2 linked regions of the Struthio camelus genome follow. The protein of the gene in region 1 interacts with the protein of each later gene in a pairwise test. Links are inferred from orthologs where the notes say so. Each region holds a gene or a part of one and is shown on either strand. Other genes may lie near its edges.

Region 1 (11,287 bases):
TTCCACCCCTTCCAAAAAGCCAAATCTCACCTTGCTTTCCTCAACTCAAATTTTGATTAACTGTAAATGTCTGGTCAGTGAAATATATGCCAAAAAGTCTAGATCTCTGAATGCTTAAAGTTAACTTAGTTTGACAATGAGGCACACTTCTCCCCAGAGGATTTTGAAGAACTTCAACAATTGTAAACAAGCATTTGTAAGCTACTTGCTTCCAATGAAATCACTTTTAGTATGAAAATAAATAACTAAATGTATCTGAACTAGCCTTTCATTTAAACTTCTTATGACTAAAAGGAACTTAAAATGACCACGAGATCTTACCTAGTCCATACAGTAAATGTTGCATTAGACTTTGAAATTACAGTAAATAAAACCTACCATCTGCTAGATTTTTTTTTCCCCTCAATCTGATCTGTAAGAATCAACCTTAGAGATTTGTGTACAATTTACAGCTCAAAGAATAGGCTTTTCAGTCACTGCCTATGTGTTTCCAGACTTCATCGGTGTGTAATTTAAAACTTCTACAGTCTTTGAAAGGCCAACATTTCCATATTTGGTTGCCCAAAGACAGGCATAAAATGCATCCATTGGCACTTCACCATAAGGCTTGATTTTTAATATCAAATGTGAAGTCCTTTCAGCATTGTAAAATATGGGCATTTTATTTTTAAATGTCACATTCATATTTATAGTTTATATATACACCCCTTGTTTTACAGTACCCTTGGAACAGTTTGTCTCATCAATTTGAAGTTAATGTTCAGAAAAATATTCTACTCTAATATTACTAGCTGTATGGACGTTGCACCTCAGATGTAATTTAATCTGAATTCTATGTTTTCTACTTTTTTCATTTGTAATTAATCAACTGTTGCTCAATTTTCCTTGTTTTCTTTTTAAATGGATAGAAAAGGAAAATCTGATCAATACAGATAAAATTACTGCTGCTTCTCTCTGTTGTGTGTTGTCTTTATAAACATGAAAATATTATACGTAGGAAATTCTCCATTATGATTATGCAGAGTTGTAAACTCTTAAGAGCAGAAATAAACTTAGCAGAAGCAGTAATTCTGAGATTCCCCAGAAGGTCTGAAAACAATAATTTATTTCCTGATTTATTTAAAAGAGTTGCACACTTCAAAAAGTGAGAAACATAACATAGCAACAGTAGCGTTAATTCAATTGTAATCTGAATTTGAACTACTGACTGTACAAACATTTTATAAAACTACAGGACAGAACTGTCTTTATTTACATCTGTTAGAAAGCTTTCCTTATTGCCACTTTTAGTGTAAATTCAAATTGTATTAAAAAACATTTTCATTTGTACAAGCCATCTGTTAATTCATATACAATGAAAAATTGCATATTTTTGAAAGCCTCAGGATCCTGGAATGGTCAAGTTCCCAGGTCAGTATGCTGTTTATCTTAAAATCCTTTATTTTTGAAAAATGAATTGGTCAATGAATTCATGCTGGTCAGCTTCTATTTTACATAGTGTCTCATACTCTATTCGGTATCTGAAAGAGAAAAAATGGTTACAAGCTACATTCAGCTCCTGTTATTTAGATGATTTAGTTCTATCTTCATGGGTCTGTTGTGAAGGAAATCTAGGCTAAGCGCATAAGTAATTTTTAAAGCAGTGGCTACATCAGTTAGACACTGCAGTTCTGAAGTACCTACAAAAATCCAAACAGCACTGTATTACAGTTTTATTAAGTTTCTTAGCTGCATGATCTCGTGCCCCCTCTATTTAGCCACAAAAACATTAGAAATGAGGCTTCCTGCAAGAGTGGTAGACAGGGCCTTAAGTTAAGCATAGAATTATGCTGCTGCATTATTCATACATGCCTTGTATGGGAGGATACACCTTAGCTGCAGGTGGACTGTTTGAACAAGCTTAGAGACTTTCCTCCTTCAGGCAAGCACAGATGATAAGACTGAGTATACAGTCTACATAATTGAGCTGAGTTTGTCATGTATGATATACTACTTTCATTTCAAAATATTAAATCAATGCCCAAAAAACTATATTTAATATAAAACTTACCTTTCCAACTGCATCTTTTTCTCAGCTATTAAAGCCTGAAGTTGCTGTTCCTGAGCTTCTCTTTGCTTAGCTATAGACTTCAGCAAATTTCGTGCACCAATGGCCTGTCAAAACAGGATTTGCAGTGACGTAGTTGTATCAGGAGCTTTTTTTTTTTTTTTAAAACCACTTTTGTTACTATTAGATTGATTTTGAAGTGTTTCAGCCGTGCTAACAATAGAAGAGGATATCATGTTGATACTGAATGTTTAGTGGAACAGGCAGACAGCCCTGTAGCAGTTGTGCAGATTAAGGCATTTGAGGCTTCCTTCAAACTTCAAGTGTTCATAACACGCTGACAGGAAAGCCACTGACTCTTCTGGAAATACAATCTGATCATTGGTGACTAGTACTACAGATAGACAAGCTCTGGTTATAATTTTTTCCCCAGAACAAATGATGAAAAAGCAACTACCTACAATTTTGCTAGTTGTTCATTTTTATTTTCGCAATAATAGGGGGGAAAAAAGTCTTAGTGACGCATAGAAATACGCCAAGAAAGTTTCAGAGGTAGTTACAGAGATATATATTGATTTGGTCTTTGGACAGCCCTTTCTTCCTCCTCGTGGATCCTCTCATGAACTAAGTTCAAATGGTAGAAATATTGATCAGAAAACATTTTCTGTTTACATGCAATATACTGATAAGCTGCAACAGTAGCACTATTAAATGCAGGAGTAATGTCACACTCCAGGTGTGCTTATAAAATTTTTCCAGTTGTTAATGTCAGTTTTTTGTAGCCCCTATGCTTTCATACCAGACAGGCAGGGAGATGTTAACTACCATGGAAAATATCTGCATGATGCTGACAGAAAATTATTGTTTATACTGTAAAAGTAGGAAGGAAGGGAGCTGGTTTTTCATGCATTGTACAGGGCAGGGTATGTTACAAGCCAGTAATTAATTGCGCAGTACCTTCATCTTCTCACTTTCAGCAGCTTTTGCTAGTTGATCAACAAGTTCAATTAAGCTACCCACTATTTTTTGAAATTCTACTACTTCTGCAAAGAAAAAAAAAAAGTCAAGTAATATCCATCAAAATAACACCAAATAAGACTAATATGTGTACTATAGGCTTTGAATTTCAGCCGTGACTTCTTAGTCCTTTCAGTTTACTGTAAATAGGTGCACTTTAAGATTTTCCTTCACAACAGGTAGGATATAAAAGGGGAACAAAAAAGAGAGAAGCCCATAAACGTTAACGGGATTCATCACCGTCCTTTACGCCACGGAGTCCGCTTCCTTAATTTTTTCGTCACTTCAAGGCATTTTTCCGATCCGTCTATTCAAGGAATGGTTATTCGAAGCTGCGGAGCCCCCGCACGGCCCCGCTAAGCGACACCTGCTAACAAACCGCTCCCGAGGGGCCGCGCGGGCTCTCGGGCGCGGCGCGGCGCCCCGGCGGAGCGGCACTTACTGTCCACGAAGGCGCCGCACTCCTCGCGGAGCTGCGCCGTCTGCTCGGCCACGCCGGGCTCCAGCACGCGAAGCTTGTTCAGCTCGTCGAAATGCAGCCCGGCTTGCCCCAGGGCGTCGCGGGCCATGCCGCCCCCGCTGCCGCTCCCAGGCGCGCTCCGCAGCAAGCCGGCACCGCAGCGAGCGCCTTCCCCGCCGGCGGCCCGTCCCGTCCCTCCCGCCGCCCCCGTCACCTGGCAGCGCCCCTCCGCACCGCGGCTGCCACGGCGACAGGGGGGACGGTACTGCAGTCGCGGGGCCCTACCCGGCACGCCGGGAGCTGTAGTCCCAGCCTCCCGCCGAGCCCGCGGCACGTCGGGAGCTGTAGTCCCGGCGGCGGGGAGCGTTTCCGGGTTGCCGGCGCGCGGAGGAAATGAGCTCAGCCGAGGGGCCGCGGGGGGGTGAGCGCTCGAGGCGGCGGGTCCGCGGGGGAGGGCACGGCGGAGCCGGGAGGCGCGGGGGGCGGCGGCGGCGGCGGCCGGAGGCCTGGCGCGGCGGGGCTGAGCCTGCGGGCGCGGGAGCGCGGCGCTGCCGGCCGAGCGGGGCTGAGGAAGAGTGCGGTCAGGTATCGTCCCAGCATCCCGGTGGGCGGTGAGAGACGGCTAGGGGAGAACTCCTGCTCACATGAGTATTTAGCTTCTAGGGTGACCTTGTTATTTGCCTTGCCAGATGTAAAACTGAGACCCCGAGAGGAAACATTCTGCCGCTGTGGTGCTGTCGCCCTTGCTGACCAAGGAATAGAGGCCAGGTGCGTGGACTCGAGTAATTCAGCACCCGGAAACTTTGTCTCTGGAAACGTTGCCCTCCATCTGTATGTGAAACTTCGGGGCACGCAGGAAACCTCCTTTTTCTCCGCTGTTCTGACACTGACGTGCTCATGCCACCTTCCTTTCTGACTCCACTAAACCTTCTCTATCCATAACCTTTCTTGTGCTGCTCAGCTCTGTGCAGACTTCAGCAAGGATCGGGGTCATGCTTCTGTCCCATCATGATGGGCTTGGCAGAGCCTGGGAGTGTCCAAAACTACTAAGACCATTTTGTCTAGTCCAGAAATTAGACAGAAAGTGTGCCACTTTAGAAGTGATTCTGTTCAAGTTTTTTTTTTCTCCTCTTGAGCTGTTAACGTTATTTCTTTTTATGGAAGTCCTCAACTGGGACCATTTCCTGATAGGGTGTCTGAACTGCCGTGTTATTGTTCTGCAGTTCTCCATCTGCTTCCCACAAAAGGCAGGAAGGAAAGGACGTAGAAAATTTTCTCTTGCGTTAATGGGTGTAATTAAAGGTCAAATTACTGTTTGCAGCAAAAGCCTCCTAGCTTGCTAGTTAATAAACATGTTACAGTAATAGTATTTGCTCCTACTTGGATAGGCTGGATAGAGAATTTTGCTATCCATTAGAAAGACATTAAAGAGCTCTGTTTGGGTCTGGAGTTATTTCTTTTGTTGCATGATCAATCTGGCTATCTTTAAAAACATGCTTTTGTTTTAAAGAGAGATCGCTATGGGCTAAAACAAGACAGGACATCTGTAACAAATTTGTAGAAATAGAGGTATAACTTAGGTCTACCAAAGGTCTTAACTGAAACAATAAGTATAGTTGCTTCTAGTCTTGATTTACTTATTTGTAAAAGATTATAGTAAACACCTATGTCTAGTAAGGAGGAATTGTGTTATGTGCAATGTGTTTGGAGAAGTTCTGGTCAATTTCTCCATAGCTTTTAGCTCTTCTGGGTAATAAACTTCTTATAGCACCATAATCGCATGCACAGTTTTTGTTTGTTGCTGGCTGCTTACCAGTTTGAAATTACTTTTCTAGCCTAGTTCATTTGTAACATGCAGTTGCCTTTGACTTATATTTGTCAATGGACGACTTGTCTAAAATGATGTGCTCAGAAAAAAAAATTGGCTTGTTCAGATGTAGAAGTAAATTTACTATTGTGTTCTAGGATGATTAGTTGAAAGTAAAGAGTGTTGACAGCTAGTGGGAGTTCCAGCATTTATAGACAAACTGATCTCTCTTGGCACTAAAATTGTTAACATTGGTTTGTGTCTTTGTGACCTGCAAAGTTTTTGTATTGTTTGTTGTTTAATAGATCTTTTTTGTAGTGCTTCCTTAATTAGAATAACATTATGTTAGATATCGTTCTAAGTTCAGTAGCTATTCAAATCTCTGGCAATTTTAAGATACCATCTGTAGCTGCTAAGTAATTTGCTGCACCAGATGGATGGAGAGATGTGGGTTTTTTCCATGCTGAAAGCTGAGGTGGGGTGAGAAGGAAGAGGGATGTGGGAAGAATAGCAATACAGTTAACAGGTTATTATATTTATTTATAAAAGGTCACTCATGTACCACGGGCACAGAACAGAGAAGCGAACAGACGCTTGTAGTCTGAAATAGATAAACAGACAAAAGCATAGTGAGAGGGGAAAAGCCAGCAAAATGTTTCTGAGGCCAACAGTTATTAAAAGAAGGCTAGCTGAGAAACCCGTACTTGTACTTTTCCAGTTAAAGAACCTGAGATCTGGCCTGTTAAACTGAGTTTTGTTCTCCTTTTGTTTGTTTGTTTGTTTCCATTCTAAGCTTCTCTTGGATGGAAAGATAAGTATAGTGAGACTGGGGAGAGGAAGGAAGTTGTGAATGTCTTAGCTGGCTTTTCCGTGAGGCAAATATTCCAAAGACTGGACGTATTTTTTAAATAGAAAAATTAGTATTATATTGACTGCTTGGCATTCCAGGACAGAGGAAAAAGAGTTTTGAATGAAGGATGTACCAGGAAATAGAGCATTATGGCCCAGCATTTTAGTGTCGAGGCACTTGAAAGAGAGGCAGCTGAAACCTCTGTAAATGTCTCCAGTTAAAAAAAAAATTCATATAAACCCCAGCTGGAGACATTGCAGAAAGCTCTTCCATTGTGTTTTAGATTTGCACAAGAAAAAGTTACATTATTTTGGGAAGTTGGGAGGGAGCCAAATTCTAACTATTATTTAAACTTGTACAGGATTGGATGGTGATTGTTATATTGACTGAGGACTAAACAAAAGGAAGTCCAGAAAAGTTTTACTTGCCTCGCTAACAGTAATGCAGCCATAACTTAACAGTATGGTGCTGAACAATCATTATATTGCTGTGTAAGTTGTTTGAAAAACACTTACGTCTTGTTTTGTCAGAATTTGTGCAGATGTGTCCTTAAGAATCTACTGAATACATTTCTTCTTTAATGTGGGTTTCCTGTTTTTGTTTTAAATGGTAATTCCAGGCTTCTGTATTGATCTTTATACGTTTCTGTTTCAAGGGTCCAGTGGGTTACGACTGTTTTTGCCTTGCACTCCTCATCTCGTGACTTGTGACTCTTCACCAATCACGGCGGAATCCATCAAGCCCACGCTCTGCAGGGTTGTCATCTATCTACAGAAGGAGATGTCAGGGGACACATGTCTAACCACCCTTTGTCCAGCTGCAGGATCCAAGCCCAAAACTAGCAACTTCAAAGGGGGCAACCTTGGTAACAAATATGTGCGACTAAATGTTGGGGGTTCCTTATATTATACTACGGTTCAAGTACTGACCAGGCATGACACAATGTTGAAGGCTATGTTCAGTGGCAGAATGGAAGTGCTCACAGACAAGGAAGGTAAGGGGAATGTCTTTTGATGTGGAGAATTTTGTAAAACAATAGTTTTTGTAGACTATGCTGAGTGAAGGGTATAAGGAAAAACGTATTCGGAAAGTAATTTGGAACATTAGGCACCCAGCTCCCATTGGCTCTAGCAAGCCTCCGTGCCTTATGAAAATGTGCTCTTTTGTTACTAAAATTAACTAGAGGAGGGACTAGTTCTCTTTGCTACAATCCCAGCTGGTACACAGATTGCTGACGTTATCAAGACTGAACATACGGCACATGGGTTGTCATTTATTGGGTGATATATAGTGGTGTCAATCAAAACTGGGGGTGGGGGGACATTCAGTTTTCATCTTTCAAACTCAACAGCCTTGCTTGCTATGTTGAGGATTCTGGGTTTTTTTCCCCTCCTAATAGTATGTTCCACTTGTTGCTGACAATACATATCCATGTTGTGACAGTATTTAGTCACCAGTCAAGTATTATGTCGCCTCATGCTGGACATTGATTCCTGGCATTATAAAAATAAAAATCCATAATAAATTATAGAGAACAGAACAAGTAAGAAGACTGATGTCAGCAATGCCTATGAATGCTTCTGTTTTCCTCTCTTTACTATCCCATAGCAAAATGATACCTTAGGAATGAGGCTTGTAGCACTGTGGAGAAGAGATTGAGAGAGGATGGCAAGTATTTAACCTCTTGGTGTTTCAGAATATTCATCTGTGAAAGCTCTTCCACATGCTGAGACTGCATCAATTTAAACTTGATGCATAACAGTGTTTTTACTTAAACTGACACAACTTCTTTGTGTGCATATCACTTAAACCAAATTCCTCTTGAGTACGCTGGTTTGTATATGACTAAATCAGTTTAGCCCAGCAATTTTGTGTAAGAGCCTTAGCCTGAAGAGAGGACAGGGTTAGTGTTCTGACAGCCACAGCTGGAGAATCTAGTAGTGGTTTAGTCTACTTTTCTTATAATGTCCTCTGCACCTGGGTCCCCAAATACCATTTTTTTCCTGCCTTCCACATTATGGAAGAGAGTTTGTCACTGTACTAAGTCCTCTGCTTGCGTGTGTCCTGCATTGCTATTGTTTGCCAGCAAGTCAGACATCCTGTTTCCTAGTCAATGTGCCCTCAGGGATGTTTTAGAATCAGAAAAACGTTCATCTACTACTCCTTCCTGTGCTGCTTCCACTTTCCACTCTCTCCTGATCTGTCTGTGTTCTTTACTCGTATTCGGAGACCGGAACAGTGTTTTTCCCACACTGTGTTTTCTGGGCTATTCTATGTTTTGGCATCCCTGGAATACTTTTCTTTTTGTTAACTCTGAACAACAGTAGAAGATGGTTGGGAGGCTGACAAATTTTTCTAGGTAGGCCACAGAACTTAGCCCCAATTCACTTGTTGCAAATATTTGCAAATTCCTTCTTATACTTTTCCCTTAGCTTTCTTAGTAATAGATTTCTAAGTTTCAAGTGCCCAGCATTACACTGCAGCAGCACTTGATACATTTATTCCCATACAAACACAGCAAAACCCTATTTTGCTGGGAATATGGCAAGCCTCTAAATGAAACAAGCAGCTTGCCTAACAATAAGCTTTTTTTTAAGGTTTGAATTGCTCGGTCAGTCAGTCAAATAGAACTCTAAAAATGCAAACTGGTGATTTCTTATAGTAGTTAAGAAGATCCATTCCTAATAAATAAAGGATCAAACACAGAAAATGATTTTAGTCAGGCAGCACATGGACTGATCAGTAGATACAGTGCAGCCAGGTTCCTGCAGGGATTTTAATGTCTCTTGAGAGAAAGCTGGGTATTTTTAGTTTTTTTTTCTAACTGTGTTTTTCTTTTGGGGTGCTGAAAAGTAGATTTCCAAAGAATAGAAAAGAAGCAGAAAAGAGTAGAGAAGTCTTCCAAAAGTACATTTCCAAAGAGGAAAGTAGATCGCCAGAAGAGCAATTCCCCTGTCATTTTCTGTTCTGTAACCAACTTCAATTTGCTCAAAGTCAGTAAAGACTTTCACTGAATGAAATGGGAAACAGATCATACGCAGTTTCAGGGAAGTTTCAGTAGGCTTCTTATCAGCTTATGAAACTTGAATGCAGTTTCCATGTTTAACCTCTCTGAAAAGCTGTTGTTTGCCTCCCACTGTTGAGGTGATTGAAATGTTGTGATGGTTACTTTTCAGGCTGGATCCTTATAGACCGTTGTGGGAAGCACTTTGGAACAATTTTAAACTATCTCCGAGATGACACAATTGCGCTTCCAAAACACAGACAGGAGATCAAAGAGTTGATGGCAGAAGCCAAATATTATCTTATTCAGGGCTTAGTAGACATGTGCCAAGCAGCCCTGCAGGTAAGAAATAGAAGTAGCCTGTAGTTATTGGCAGGCGTTTTGCTTATAAATATGACTTAGGATGACTTCAAAGAGTGTTTCATGGTCTTAGATGTACATCAAGTCTTAGGCGCACAAGGTAGCCTGGAAAGAAAATGAGACAGCAGTGAGATAAGTTGTTAAGATCTTATCAAGTACATTTATCAAAGCCGTGGTTTTCCTTGCTGTATGTGGACACTCGAGATTCTGTGATGCTTTGTGTAAGAGAGATTTAGTTTATGCTCTCACAGGAAATGTTCTCAGACCTATTCAATATTGTGGAACAGCCTTTCAGGGCAAAGGGGCCTGTGTTCTCAAGGGGTCTAGTGTAATTACTGATGTGGTTGCATTATCAAGGCAGCTATTTCTTTGTAAGAAGAGAGAAAGATGGTCCAGAAGTTAAATTATATTAATCTAGAACATGAAAGGCTCAGGTTCAAGTTCCTTTCATTTCAGAGATGTCTTGTATGATGATGGGTAAATCATTTTCCTTTGAGCTACCATTCTCTTGCCCAGCTGCCTGCTGCAGAATGGGGATAACAGGACTTTTTCTACTTCACAAGAATGCCAGAAGATGAATAAAGAAGAGATTATGTTCAGAACCAGTCGTATAAATAGAGGGACTGTTTCTTTTATATTTGTATATTTTTTTAATTTAGGAAATAGTGAATTTTGAGTTCCTTTTATGTGAAAAGAAATGAAAAACTGAAATTTAAAGGAAATTCGTTGAATAAACATGATTATTTTGAACACAGATGTTTTAAAAGACCTCATAGCATTTGCCTAAAATTCCGCCAAATTATATCACTTCTATTGGATAATAATAGATAAGCGGATAATGTTGATAAGCAGAATGGGTTGCAAACTTTGAAAATATGGTAATTTTTTTCCACGTTTGACTCTTAATGTAGAAAGAGGAAGGTCTACATGGTGAGCACTGATTACTTTAAGGATTTTTATTTGTATCATCTTACTAGCTCTGTTTGTAAATATATAAGCCCATAAGTAGCTTTATTCACTGCACTACTCCGTATGTGTTCAGGTTCAGCTGACTGAAATCACTTTGTTTGGCTGACTTTCTTACAAGGTTAGCCCAGATATGTATTATTTATATATATATAAAACTTATTATTAATCTTAAGATTGTGAAAAGAATGTTTCTGAAGGGATAAAACTTAGTAATTAACAAATACCTCACATTCAACATACTTCTTGTAGCCACTGAAAGAAGTGCAAAGCTACACTGACAATTTTTCTGCTGGTTTTGAATTTAAAACCTTTCTTCTAAAAACAAAATGTTCCAAGGCTTTCCCATTAGCTATTGAGCTTTCCTTAATTTGCTACATGAGGAATCTGGAGTCACAGACTGTACTTCAAGCTATTGTTGGTTGCTTTTGTACCACAAGGGGAAGAAGTCCATTTCAGTGACATACTGTTCTTCTTGCCAAATGTTCAGTTCATAGTGGCTGATCTTATATTCTGCAGTGTTTTGAGTTATTTAAAACTTGTGCAAACTCTTACTATCCTTTTCTCCAAAAAAGGCTGGAATAATAAACCCACTTAAACCAAGCATGACTTGAGCTCAGAGTCTTTGCTATAGCTAAGAAGGACATCCCCTTGCATCCCAATATTTCAATTATTGCTGCCTTCTGGGAATAAGAAGCCTCTCTGCTGTATTTCTGGGTTAGAGATCAAGGTAATGCTGTGTAGTTACTATAGCAACGTAGGGCTCTTCCTTTGCA
Region 2 (10,854 bases), about 21 Mb from region 1:
GCGCGCCGGCCGCCGCCTTCCCCGACTTCGGCGCCTACCCCGAGGCGCTCCGGCGCTTCGTGCTGCGCGGCGGCTGCCGGCGCTACCCGCTGCTGCTGGACCAGCCGGGCGCCTGCGGCCCAACGGCCCCTTCCTGCTGCTGGCCGTCGAGTCGGCGCCGGGGAACTCGGCGGCGCGGCAGACCCGGGCCCGGCGGCGGGCCGGCGTGCGGGCCGTCTTCCTGCTGGGCCCGGCGGCCGGGAGCCGGCTCTTCGGCGACCTGCTGCAGTGGGGCTTCGAGGACGCCTTCTTCAACCTGGCGCTGAAGGACTTCCTCTTCCTCGGCTGGCTGCGGCGCCGCTGCCCCGGCGCCCGCTTCGTGCTCAAGGGCGACGCCGCCGCCTTCGTCAACACGCCGCGCGTCCTGGCCTAGCTGGGCTCGCCGCCGCCGGCCCGCGTCCTCTACGCCGGGCGGGCGATGGCCGACGCGCGGCCCTTCCGGGCGCCCGCCGGCAAGTATTACATCCCGGCCCCTTTCTACGCCGGTCCCTACCCGGGCTGCGGCGGCGGCGGCGGCGGCTACCTCCTCTCCGGGCGGCTGGCGGGGCCCTCGCACGACCTGGCCGCCCGCCTGGCGCTCTTCCCCACCGACGACGTCTTCGCCGGGCTCCGCTTCCACGCGCTGGGCGTCCCGGCGCGGCCCCACGCCGGCTTCCGCACGCTGGACGTGGCGGCCGGGCGACCCCTGCGCCCGCGCCGGGCTGCTGCCGATGCACCGGCGCTGCCCGCCGCAGACCGCGCGCTCTGGCGGCTGCTGCGCCGGCCCGGGCGGCGCATCGAACGGGGGCGCTCCCGGCCGCGCGCGCGGCGCCCGGACTCTCGCTTACCGTCGCACCAACGCACACGGCCCCGAGGCGGCAGCGGGTTTATTGGGGAGGGCGGGCGGCGTCACTGCTCGAAGTGCTCGAGGGGGTAGTGCTCGCCGTACTGCTGCAGGTGCCGCGCCAGGGCCGCCTGCTGCTTCTGCAGGTGCGGCGGCATCTCGCGGTACACGTCGGAGAAGAGCAGCTGCGGGTTGGGCTTCAGCTTGCGCTCCGCCTCCTCGAAGGCCTCCATCACCTGCGGGGGGAGCAGCCGGGTGAGCCGGGAAGGACGCGGAGCGGGAGGAGGTAGAGGAGCAGAACGAAGAGCAGGAGAACAAGCAGTAGGGTGACAAGGAGCAGGACGACGAGAACGAGCAAGTGAAGGAGAAGAAGGATGAGAATGAGGACGAGGAGGAGCAGGACGAGGAGGAGGAGGAGGTAGAGGAGCAGAACGAAGAGCAGGAGAACAAGCAGTAGGGTGACAAGGAGCAGGACGACGAGAACGAGCAAGTGAAGGAGAAGGATGAGAATGAGGACGAGGAGGAGCAGGACGAGGAGGAGGAGGAGGTAGAGGAGGAGAGTGAGGAGGAGGAGGACGAGGAAAAGGAGGAGAAGAAAGATGAGGATGAGAGTGAGGACAGGGAGGAGGAGGAGGTAGAGGAGGAGAACAAGGAGAACGAGGAGGAGAAGGAGCAGGAGAAGAAAGATGAGGATGAGAGCGAGGACAGGGAGGAGCAGGAGGTAGAGGAGGAGAACAAGGAGAACGAGGAGGAGAAGGAGCAGGAGAAGAAAGATGAGGATGAGAGCGAGGACAGGGAGGAGCAGGAGGTAGAGGAGGAGAACAAGGAGAACGAGGAGGAGAAGGAGCAGGATGAGGAGAAGAAAGACGAGGACGAGAGTGAGGACGGGGAGGAGCAGGACAAGGAGGACAATGAGGAAGAGGAGAAAGAGCGTAAGGAACATGAGGATGAAGAGGACGAGCAGGAGAAAGATAACAAGAAGGCAAGCGAGGATGAAGACAAGAACAAAAAATTAGGAGAAGGAAGGGGAGAAGGTTGGGAAGGAGAACAACAACAAGGGCAACGAGGAAGAACGAGAGAACGAGCGCAAGGAGGAAGAGGACAAAGACGAGCAGAACAAGGGCGAGGAGCAGGAGAAAGGGAGCGCAAGGAGCAGGATGAAAAGGAAGACGAGGAAGAGAAGAGCGAGGAGAAAGGGAACAAGGAGAAGGACGAGGAGAGGCAGAGGCCGCCCCGGCCCCGCTCACCTTCCTGCGGGAGCTCTTCCTCCAGCTCTTCTCCTGCTCCTCGTCCCACCAGCCCCGGCCCAGCATGTAGTGGCGCAGGCGGGAGATGGGGTGGTCCTGCTTGTCCCAGTAGTTCACCTCGTCCACCGAGCGGTAGGCGGAGCTGTCGTCGCTGGTGCTGTGGTGGCCGATCCTGCCCAGCGGGGAGGGGACGCGCGGGAGCCGCGTGGCGCCGCCGCCACCGCGCGTGTCCCCCCGCCGCCGCCGCCGCCGCCCCCCGGCCCCGCACCTGTAGGTCATGGCCTCGATGAGGAAGGGCTGGTTCTCGGCCACGGCGCGGCGCCGCGCCTCCTTGGTGGCGTTGTAGACGGCGAAGACGTCGTTGCCGTCCACGCGGATGGACATGAGGCCGTAGCCGGGGCCGCGGGCCGCTGCGGGGGGCCGCGGTCAGGGACGGCCACCACGGCCGCTGCCGTCGCCCGCGCGCGGCGGCTCTTACCGATGCCGTCGCCCCGGTACTGCTCGGAGGTGGGGGTGGAGATGGCGTAGCCGTTGTTGCGGCAGAAGAAGATGATGGGGCACTCGAGGGTGGCGGCGAAGTTGAAGCCGGCGTGGGCGTCCCCCTCGCTGGCGGCCCCCTCGCCGAAGTAGCAGATGACCGCCTGGTTGGCGTTGTCCCGCTTGATGGCGTAGGCGGCGCCCACGGCTGCCGGGAGCGGGGTCGGGACGCGGCGTCAGCCCCCGGGGGCAGCGCCGGCGCGTGTCCACCCCCCCAACCCCACCCCAGCCCGGCGTCACCTTGCGGGATCTGGGTGGCCAGCGGGGAGGAGATGGTGACGAAGTGGCGCTCGCGGCAGCCGTAGTGCACCGGCATCTGGCGCCCTTTGCCGGGGTCGCTGGCGTTGCCGTAGCACTGCGCCATGAAGAGGTCCAGCGGGTAGCCGCGGTACATGAGCACGCCTGGCGCGGGGCGGCGGTGAGCGCGGGGGGGACGCCGCCACCGCCGCCGCCGCCGCCGGCCCGGCTCGCCCTTACCCGCCTCGCGGTACTGCCCGAAGACCAGGTCGGTGTCGGCCAGGGCCGCCGCGCTGCCCACGTGCGTCCCCTCCTCGCCGTAGTTGGTCATGTAGAAGGAGATGCGGCCCTGGGGGGCGGCGGGGGTGGGCGCGGGCAGGCGGCGCGTCCCCCGGCCGGGCCCCGCGCCGGCCCCCGGCTCACCTGCCGCTGCGACTCGTACAGGATGCGGTCCATGGTGTTGAGGAGCGTCATGGTCTTGTAGAGCTTCAGCACCAGCTCCTGGGGCAGCTGCGGGGGGGGCAGCGCCGCCCGGGGACGGGGCGTCACGGGGGTGGGGGCACCACGGGGACGGTGTCGTCGTGGGTTTGGGGGACACTGTGGGGACCGGGGACGCTCACGGGGACAGGGGACGCGCCGCAGGGACAGGGGCCGCCGTGGGGATGGGGGCCGCCACGTGGGGACAGGGGCTGCTGTGGGGCAGGGGCTGCCCTGCGAGGACAGGGCACGCCGTGGGGTTGGGGGACGTGATGTGGGGACAGGGGCTGCCGTGGGGACGGGGGGCTGCTGCCGTGGGGACGAGGGACATGCTGCAAGGGCAGGAGCCGCCATGGGGATGGGAAACGCAACGTGGGGACAGGGGCTGCCGGGGGGCCGGGGGCCGTGGGGCCGGGGGGCCGGGGGGCCGGGGCCCACCTGGGGGTCCTCGCGGGGGTTGACGACGTGGCCCTGGCGGTCCATGACGCGGTAGACGGGGATGCCCGACAGCGCGGGGGCCGGGGGCCGTGGGGCTGGGGGGCCGGGGGGCCGGGGGCCGTGGGGCTGGGGGCCGTGGGGCCGGGGGGCCGGGGCCCACCTGGGGGTCCTCGCGGGGGTTGACGACGTGGCCCTGGCGGTCCATGACGCGGTAGACGGGGATGCCCGACAGCGCGTTGGGCTGGATGAAGCGGAGCCGCTCGGCGAAGTCGGCCGAGGCGCCGGGGAACTGCGGCTTCTCCGCCAGCGAGGGCAGAGAGGGCTCCTGCTGCCGCCCCCCCTGCCGAAACGTCCCGTCGTCCCCGTCCCCCCCGCCGAAACGTCCCGTCGTCCCCGTCCCCCCCCTGCCGAAACGTCCCGTCGTCCCCGTCCCCCCCCGCCGAAACGTCCCGTCGTCCCCGTCTCCCCCCGCCGAAACGTCCCGTCGTCCCCGTCCCCCCCCGCCGAAACGTCCCGTCGTCCCCGTCCCCCCCCCGCCGAAACGTCCCGTCGTCCCCGTCCCCCCCGCCGAAACGTCCCGTCGTCCCCGTCCCCCCCCGCCGAAACCCCCCTGCCGAACCCTCCTGTTCACCCCGGTGACACGGGGACGTGGGGACACGGGGACGTGGGGACGGGACGTGGGGACGGGACGTGGGGACACAGGGACGTGGGGAGCCGGGGACGTGGGGAGCCGGGGACGTGGGGACACGGGGACGTGGGGACGGGAAGTGGGGACACGGGGGGACGGGACGTGGGGACACGGGGACGTGGGGACGTGGGGACACGGGGACGTGGGGAGCCAGGGACACGGGGACACGGGGACGTGGGGACACGGGGACACGGGGACATGGGGACATGGGGACACGGGGACGTGGGGACGGGACGTGGGGACACGGGGACGTGGGGACACGGGGACATGGGGACACGGGGACACGGGGACACGGGGACGTGGGGACGGGACGTGGGGACACGGGGACACGGGGACGTGGGGACGTGGGGAGCCGGGCCCGGCCGGCGGCGGCGGTGGGGGGACCTCGGCGCGGCGCCCCCCGCGCCCGCCCCACTCACGGCGGTGCCGAGGCCGCGGGCCGGAGCCGGAGCCGAGAGCGGAGCCGAGAGCGGAGCCGCCCGGGCCCGCAGGAGCCGCCCGCGCAGCGCCCGCAGCGCCGCCGCCGCCATCTTGTGCGGGGCGGGGCGGGGCGGGCCGGGGGGAACGCCGGGAAGGGGCGCGGGGGCCGGGGGGACCGCGGGGGGCGGCGCACCGGGGCGGCTGGGGGGACCGGGGAAAGGGGGCACCGGGGCACTGGGGGGGACGGAACGCCGGGGAGGGGCGCGGGGGGCCGGGGGGACCGCGGGGGGCGGCGCACCGGGGCGGCTGGGGGGACCGGGGAAAGGGGGCACCGGGGCACTGGGGGGGGCGTGGAACGCCGGGGAGGGGCGCGGGGGGCCGGGGGGACCGCGGGGGGCGGCGCACCGGGGCGGCTAGTGGGACCGGGGAAAGGGGGCACCGGGGCACTGGGGGGGGGCGGAACGCCGGGGAGGGGCGCGGGGGGCCGGGGGGACCGCGGGGGGCGGCGCACCGGGGCGGCTGGGGGGACCGGGGAAAGGGGGCACCGGGGCACTGGGGGGGCGGAACGCCGGGGAGGGGCGCGGGGGGCCGGGGGGACCGCAGGAGGCGGCGCACCGGGGCGGCTGGGGGGACCGGGGAAAGGGGGCACCGGGGCACTGGGGGGGGCGGTCACGTGCCAGAGGGCGGGCGTTTCCGCCGGAAGCGGAAGCGGGAGCGGCGGCAGCATGGCGGCGGAGGCAGCAGCAGCGGTGGCAGTGGAGGAGGAGGAGGATGGCGGCGGCGGCGAGTGCTGCCTGCGGCCCTTCTCCTGCGAGCAGGGGCTGCTCTCGCGGCCCGACGGCTCGGCCGCCTTCGTCCAGGGTGCGCGACCCCCCCCCCCGCGCCGCCCCCGGTTCCCCCTCACCGTCCGCGGGGGCCGCCTGGGTCCTTCCCCTCCCCCCCCGGACGCCTGGGCCCTTCTTCCCCGAGATCCCCTCCCCCCGAGATCCCCCCCCCCCGGACGCCTGGGCCCCTCTTCCCCGGGATCCCCCCTCGGACGCCTGGGCCCCTCTTCCCATGGGATCCCCTGTCCCTGGACACCCTGCCCCCCCCCCGAGATCTCCCCCCCCCCCGGACGCCTGGGCCCACGCGTGGTCGCCGACCCCCCACCCCACGCCCGCAGGCGACACCTCGGTGCTGGCCGGGCTCTACGGCCCCGGCGAGGCGAAGGGCAGCAAAGAGCTGCCGGACCAGGCGGTGCTGGAGGTGCTGCTGCGCCCCAAGGTGGGGCTGCCCGGTGGGTGCCGGGGGTGCGGGGGGGGTGGGGGCCGTGGGGTGGCGGAGCGGAGCCGGGAGCAGCTGCTGCGGCGCACGTGCCGGGCCGGGGGGGCACGGGGGGCGGCCGGGGGGGCCGTGGGGCAGCCGTGGGGCGGCCGTGACCCCCGTGGCGCCGCAGGGGTGGCGGAGCGGAGCCGGGAGCAGCTGCTGCGGCGCACGTGCCAGGCCGGGGGGGCACGGGGGGCGGCCGTGGGGCGGCCGGGGGGGGCGTGGGGCGGCCGTGACCCCCGTGGCGCCGCAGGGGTGGCGGAGCGGAGCCGGGAGTAGCTGCTGCGGCGCACGTGCCGGGCCGGGGGGGCACGGGGGGCGTCCGTGGGGCAGCCGGGGGGGGCGTGGGGCAGCCGGGGGGGGCGTGGGGCGGCCGTGACCCCCGTGGCGCCGCAGGGGTGGCAGAGCGGAGCCGGGAGCAGCTGCTGCGGCGCACGTGCCGGGCCGGGGGGGCACGGGGGGCGGCCGTGGGGGCCGTGGGGCGGCCGTGGGGCGGCCGTGACCCCCGTGGGGCCGCAGGGGTGGCGGAGCGGAGCCGGGAGCAGCTGCTGCGGCGCACGTGCCAGGCGGTGCTGCTGGGCGCCCTGCACCCTCGCTCCGCCGTCACCCTGGTGCTGCAGGTGCTCAGCGACGCCGGATCCGTATCCGCTTCCGCCCCCGCCGGGGGGCTGGGGGGGGGCTGGGGGGGGCGGGCTGTTTTGGGGAGGGAACCAGGGTTTGGGGGGATGGACGGGGGCTTGGCAGGAAGCGGGTGGGTTTAGAGGAGAGCTGGGGGGCTTGGGGGGAGAGAATCGGGGTTTGGGGGATGAATTAGGGTTTGGGGGGCAGTCAGGGGGGTTGGGGGGGAGCTGATGGGGTTTGGGGGGGAGCTGGGGGCTTGGGGAGGGAATTGGGGTGGTTTGGGGGGTTAAGTGGAGGTTCGGGGGAAGCTGGCAGGGTTTTGGAGGAGCAGGCAGGTTTCGGAGAGCGAATTGGGGTGGTTGGGGGCATCGATTGGGTTTGGGGGGTTGTTGGCGTTGGGCACGTCAGGAAGGGAGTGGGGAGGTGGGGGGATAGAGGGGGGTTTGGGGCATTGTTGGGGGATTTGGGGATTTTGGGGAGGGAATTGGGTTGGGGGGGAGAGTGGGAGGTTCGAGGGGGTTTAGGAGAGAATGGGGGGATTGAGAGGGGTTGGGGGGATTGGGGGTTTTGGGGGGAGAATGGGGGTTTTGGGGGAGGGATTTAGAGGGTTTGGGGGATAGAGGGGCGTTTGGGGAACGCTAGGGGGAATTGGGGGCTTGGGGGGATTTCGGGGGGTTTGGGGGTCTTTAGGGGGATTTGGGGGGGTTGGGATTTTGGGGGGTTTGAGGGGCTGGATGTGGGTTTGGGGGGGCGTTAGGGGGAATTGGGGGTTTGGGGGGACTTTGGGGGGTTTGGGGGACGTTAGGGGGATTTAGGGGTTGGGATTTCGGGGGGTTTGAGGGGCTGGATGGGGGTTTGGGGGGCGTTAGGGGGAATTGGGGGCTTGGGGGGGGTTTCGGGGGGTTTGAGGGGCTGGATGGGGGTTTGGGGGGCGTTAGGGGGAATTGGGGGCTTGGGGGGGATTTCGGGGGGTTTGAGGGGCTGGATGTGGGTTTGGGGGGGTTAGGGGGAATTGGGGGCTTGGGGAGGATTTTGGGGGGTTTGAGGGGCTGGATGTGGGTTTGGGGGGGTTAGGGGGAATTGGGGGCTTGGGGATTTCGGGGGGTTTGAGGGGATTTCGGGGGGTTTGAGAGGCTGGATGTGGGTTTGGGGGGGTTAGGGGGAATTGGGGGCTTGGGGGGGGTTTCGGGGGGCGCGCGGGGGCCGGAGGGGGCCGGGGGCGCCTTGACGCGGGGCGCAGCTGCTGGCCTGCTGCCTGAACGCCGCCTGCCTGGGGCTGCTGGACGCGGGGCTGCCGCTGGCCTCGCTCTTCTGCGGCGTCGCCTGCGCCCTGCGGCCCGACGGCCGCCTCGTCCTCGACCCCACGGCGCGCCAGGAGCGGGTGAGCGGGTCCCCCCCCCGTCCCCCCCCACCCCGGGGGGCCGCGGTCCCCCCCCCCGGCTCAGCCCCGCTGCCCCTCGCCCCGCAGGAGGCCCGCGCCGTGCTCACCTTCGCCATCGCCAGCCCCGACGGCCGCCTCCTGGCCGCCGCCACCACCAAGGGCGCCTGCTCCCCCCAGGAGGTCAGCGCCCCCCCCCCCCCCCCCCGTCCCGGCTTTCGGGGCGAATCGCCGCGGGTTTGGGTCGCTCCGGGCAGCGAGGGGTTTCCTGCGGGTTCCCGGCCTGTCGGTTCCCCCCCCCCCCCAAAACACACACGCACTGGGGGTTGTGACCCCCGTCCTGCCCCGGGGGGCGGCCCCCCCCCCGTGTCCCCCCCCCATGCTGTGGGGCAGCCCCCCCCAATGCTGTGGGGCAGCCCCCCCCATGTCCCGTTCCCCCCCCCATGCCATGGGGCAGCCCCCCACCATGTCCCGTTCCCCCCCACCACCATTGGGCGGCCATCTGCGTCATGTTCCCCCCCCCCATGCCGTGGGGCAGCCCCCCCCCCGTCCCGTTCCCCCTCCCGCCATGGGGCGGCCCCCTGTGTCCTGCCCCCCCCCCCATGAGGAACCCCCCCCCCGTCGGGTGGCCCCTGTCCCCCCCTCCCACCATGGGGCAGCCCCCATGTTCCACCCCCCCCCGCCGTGGGGAAGCCCCCCCCCCATGTCCTGTTCCCCCCCTGCGGGTGAGGTGGCCCCCCCGTGCCCCCCCCACCATGGGGTGGCCCCCCTGTGCCCCCCGCCACCATGGGGCAGCCCCCCCCATGGGTGAGGTGGCCCCCCCGTGCCCCCCCCCCCGCCGTGGGGCGGCCCCCCACGCCCCGCGCCCCCTCCGCAGCTGCAGCAGAGCCTCGCCGCCGCCCAGCGCGCCGCCGCCGCCATCTTCCAGTTCTACCGCGACTGCCTGCGCCGCAAGTACTCCAAGTGGTGACGCGCCGGACGCCGGGGCCCCCGACCCCCCCGCACCCATCCGGACTCCCCCCCGCACCCCCCTCCGCCGTCGGGGGCATTAAACAGGCCGCCCCGACCTGCTGCCGCCTCTCACTGCCGCCGCCCTGGGGGGGCCGAGCCCCGTCCCCCCTCCAGCCCTGCGTGCAGCCCCCCCCCCCACCCGGGGTAATTACCAGGGGGTAATTAGGGGCCTAATTGCTGCCACCTTGGCCCCCAGCTGTGCCCCCCTCCCCAGGCAGAGCGGGTGCGTTGGGGTCCTCGGCTGAGGCCGGGCGAGCTCGTGTCACCTCCCGGGAGGGGAAGGTGGGGGAGCCCGGGTGTGGGGTGCTCCCAATGTGGGGGGGGCTCTGGGCGTGGGGTGCCCCCAATGTGGGGGGCTGAGGGGGTTCCGGGTATGTGGGGTGCCCCATTTCAGGAGCCTGGGCAGGGGACAGTGGGACCCTGCACGCAGGACACGTGTGGGGACACGTGGCTATGGGGGGTGTGCGGGGCACGTGTGGGGACACGCTTGGAGACACGCGTGTCTGTGCCTGCAGGGACATGTGGGTGCGCTTGGGCAGGGTCAGGGGCCATGTCGGGCCACGTTGACCCATGTTGAGTTGCGTCAGGCCGTATCAGGCCATGCTGACCCGTGTCAAGCCGTGTCAGGCTATGCTGAGCCATGTCAAGCCATATTGGGCCACGTTGACCCATGTCGAGCTGCATCAGGCCATATCAGGCCATGTTGAGCCATGTTGACCCATGTCAAGCCATGTCAGGCCATGTCGAGCCATGTTGACCCATGTCAAGCTGCGTCAGGCCATGTCGAGCCATGTTGACCCATGTCAAGCTGTGTCAGGCCATGTCGAGCCATGTTGACCCATGTCAAGCTGTGTCAGGCCATGTCGAGCCATGTGGACCCACGTCAAGCCGTGTCAGTCTATGCTGAGCCATGTTGACCCATGTCAAGCCGCGTGAGGCTATGCTGAACAGTGTTGACCCATGTCAAGCCGTGTCAGGCCATGTCGAGCCATGTTGACCCACGTCAAGCCGTGTCAGTCTATGCTGAGCCATGTTGACCCATGTCAAGCCGCGTGAGGCTATGCTGAACCGTGTTGACCCATGTCAAGCCGTGTCAGGCCATGTCGAGCCATGTTGACCCATGTCAAGCTGTGTCAGGCCATGTCGAGCCATGTGGACCCACGTCAAGCCGTGTCAGTCTATGCTGAACCATGTTGACCCATGTCAAGCCGCGTGAGGCTATGCTGAACCGTGTTGACCCATGTCAAGCCGTGTCAGGCCAGGTCGAGCCATGTGGACCCACGTCAAGCCGTGTCAGTCTATGCTGAGCCATGTTGACCCATGTCAAGCCGCGTGAGGCTATGCTGAACCGTGTTGACCCATGTCAAGCCGTGTCAGGCCATGTCGAGCCATGTTGACCCACGTCAAGCCGTGTCAGGCTATGCTGAGCCATGTTGACCCATGTCAAGCCGCGTGAGGCTATGCTGAACCGTGTTGACCCATGTCAAGCTGTGTCAGGCTATGCTGAACCATGTTGACCCATGTCAAGCCGTGTCAGGCCATGTCGAGCCATGTTGACCCATGTCAAGCCGTGTCAGGCCATGTCGAGCCACATGGACCCATGTCAAGCCGTGTCAGGCCATGTCGAGCCACG

Evidence for each region.
Region 2: the proteins of TNFAIP1 (region 1) and EXOSC5 interact in binary tests that used the Homo sapiens proteins (3 or more experiments, as listed by UniProt). The two-hybrid records come from large-scale screens. The link is inferred for Struthio camelus from reciprocal best matches to the Homo sapiens genes TNFAIP1 and EXOSC5.

Annotation. Positions count from the first base shown.
Region 1 is NC_090957.1:21,430,704-21,441,990, forward strand, and holds the start of TNFAIP1 (BTB/POZ domain-containing adapter for CUL3-mediated RhoA degradation protein 2), read left to right. Parts: upstream 1-6,787; coding exon 6,788-7,175; exon of another isoform or gene 7,176-9,357; coding exon 9,358-9,527; exon of another isoform or gene 9,528-9,650; intron 9,651-11,287. Other genes in the region: IFT20 (intraflagellar transport protein 20 homolog), read right to left, coding at 1,439-1,520, 2,051-2,154, 3,005-3,090, 3,507-3,633. UniProt on the Homo sapiens protein: Substrate-specific adapter of a BCR (BTB-CUL3-RBX1) E3 ubiquitin-protein ligase complex involved in regulation of cytoskeleton structure.
Region 2 is NC_090957.1:707,917-718,770, reverse strand, and holds EXOSC5 (exosome complex component RRP46), read left to right. Parts: upstream 1-5,574; 5' UTR 5,575-5,631; coding exon 5,632-5,767; intron 5,768-6,068; coding exon 6,069-6,182; intron 6,183-6,730; coding exon 6,731-6,852; intron 6,853-8,072; coding exon 8,073-8,213; intron 8,214-8,300; coding exon 8,301-8,393; intron 8,394-9,087; coding exon 9,088-9,180; 3' UTR 9,181-9,293; downstream 9,294-10,854. Other genes in the region: BCKDHA (2-oxoisovalerate dehydrogenase subunit alpha, mitochondrial), read right to left, coding at 928-1,098, 2,110-2,281, 2,378-2,519, 2,588-2,794, 2,887-3,048, 3,124-3,232, 3,307-3,393, 3,959-4,138 and 1 more. UniProt on the Homo sapiens protein: Non-catalytic component of the RNA exosome complex which has 3'->5' exoribonuclease activity and participates in a multitude of cellular RNA processing and degradation events.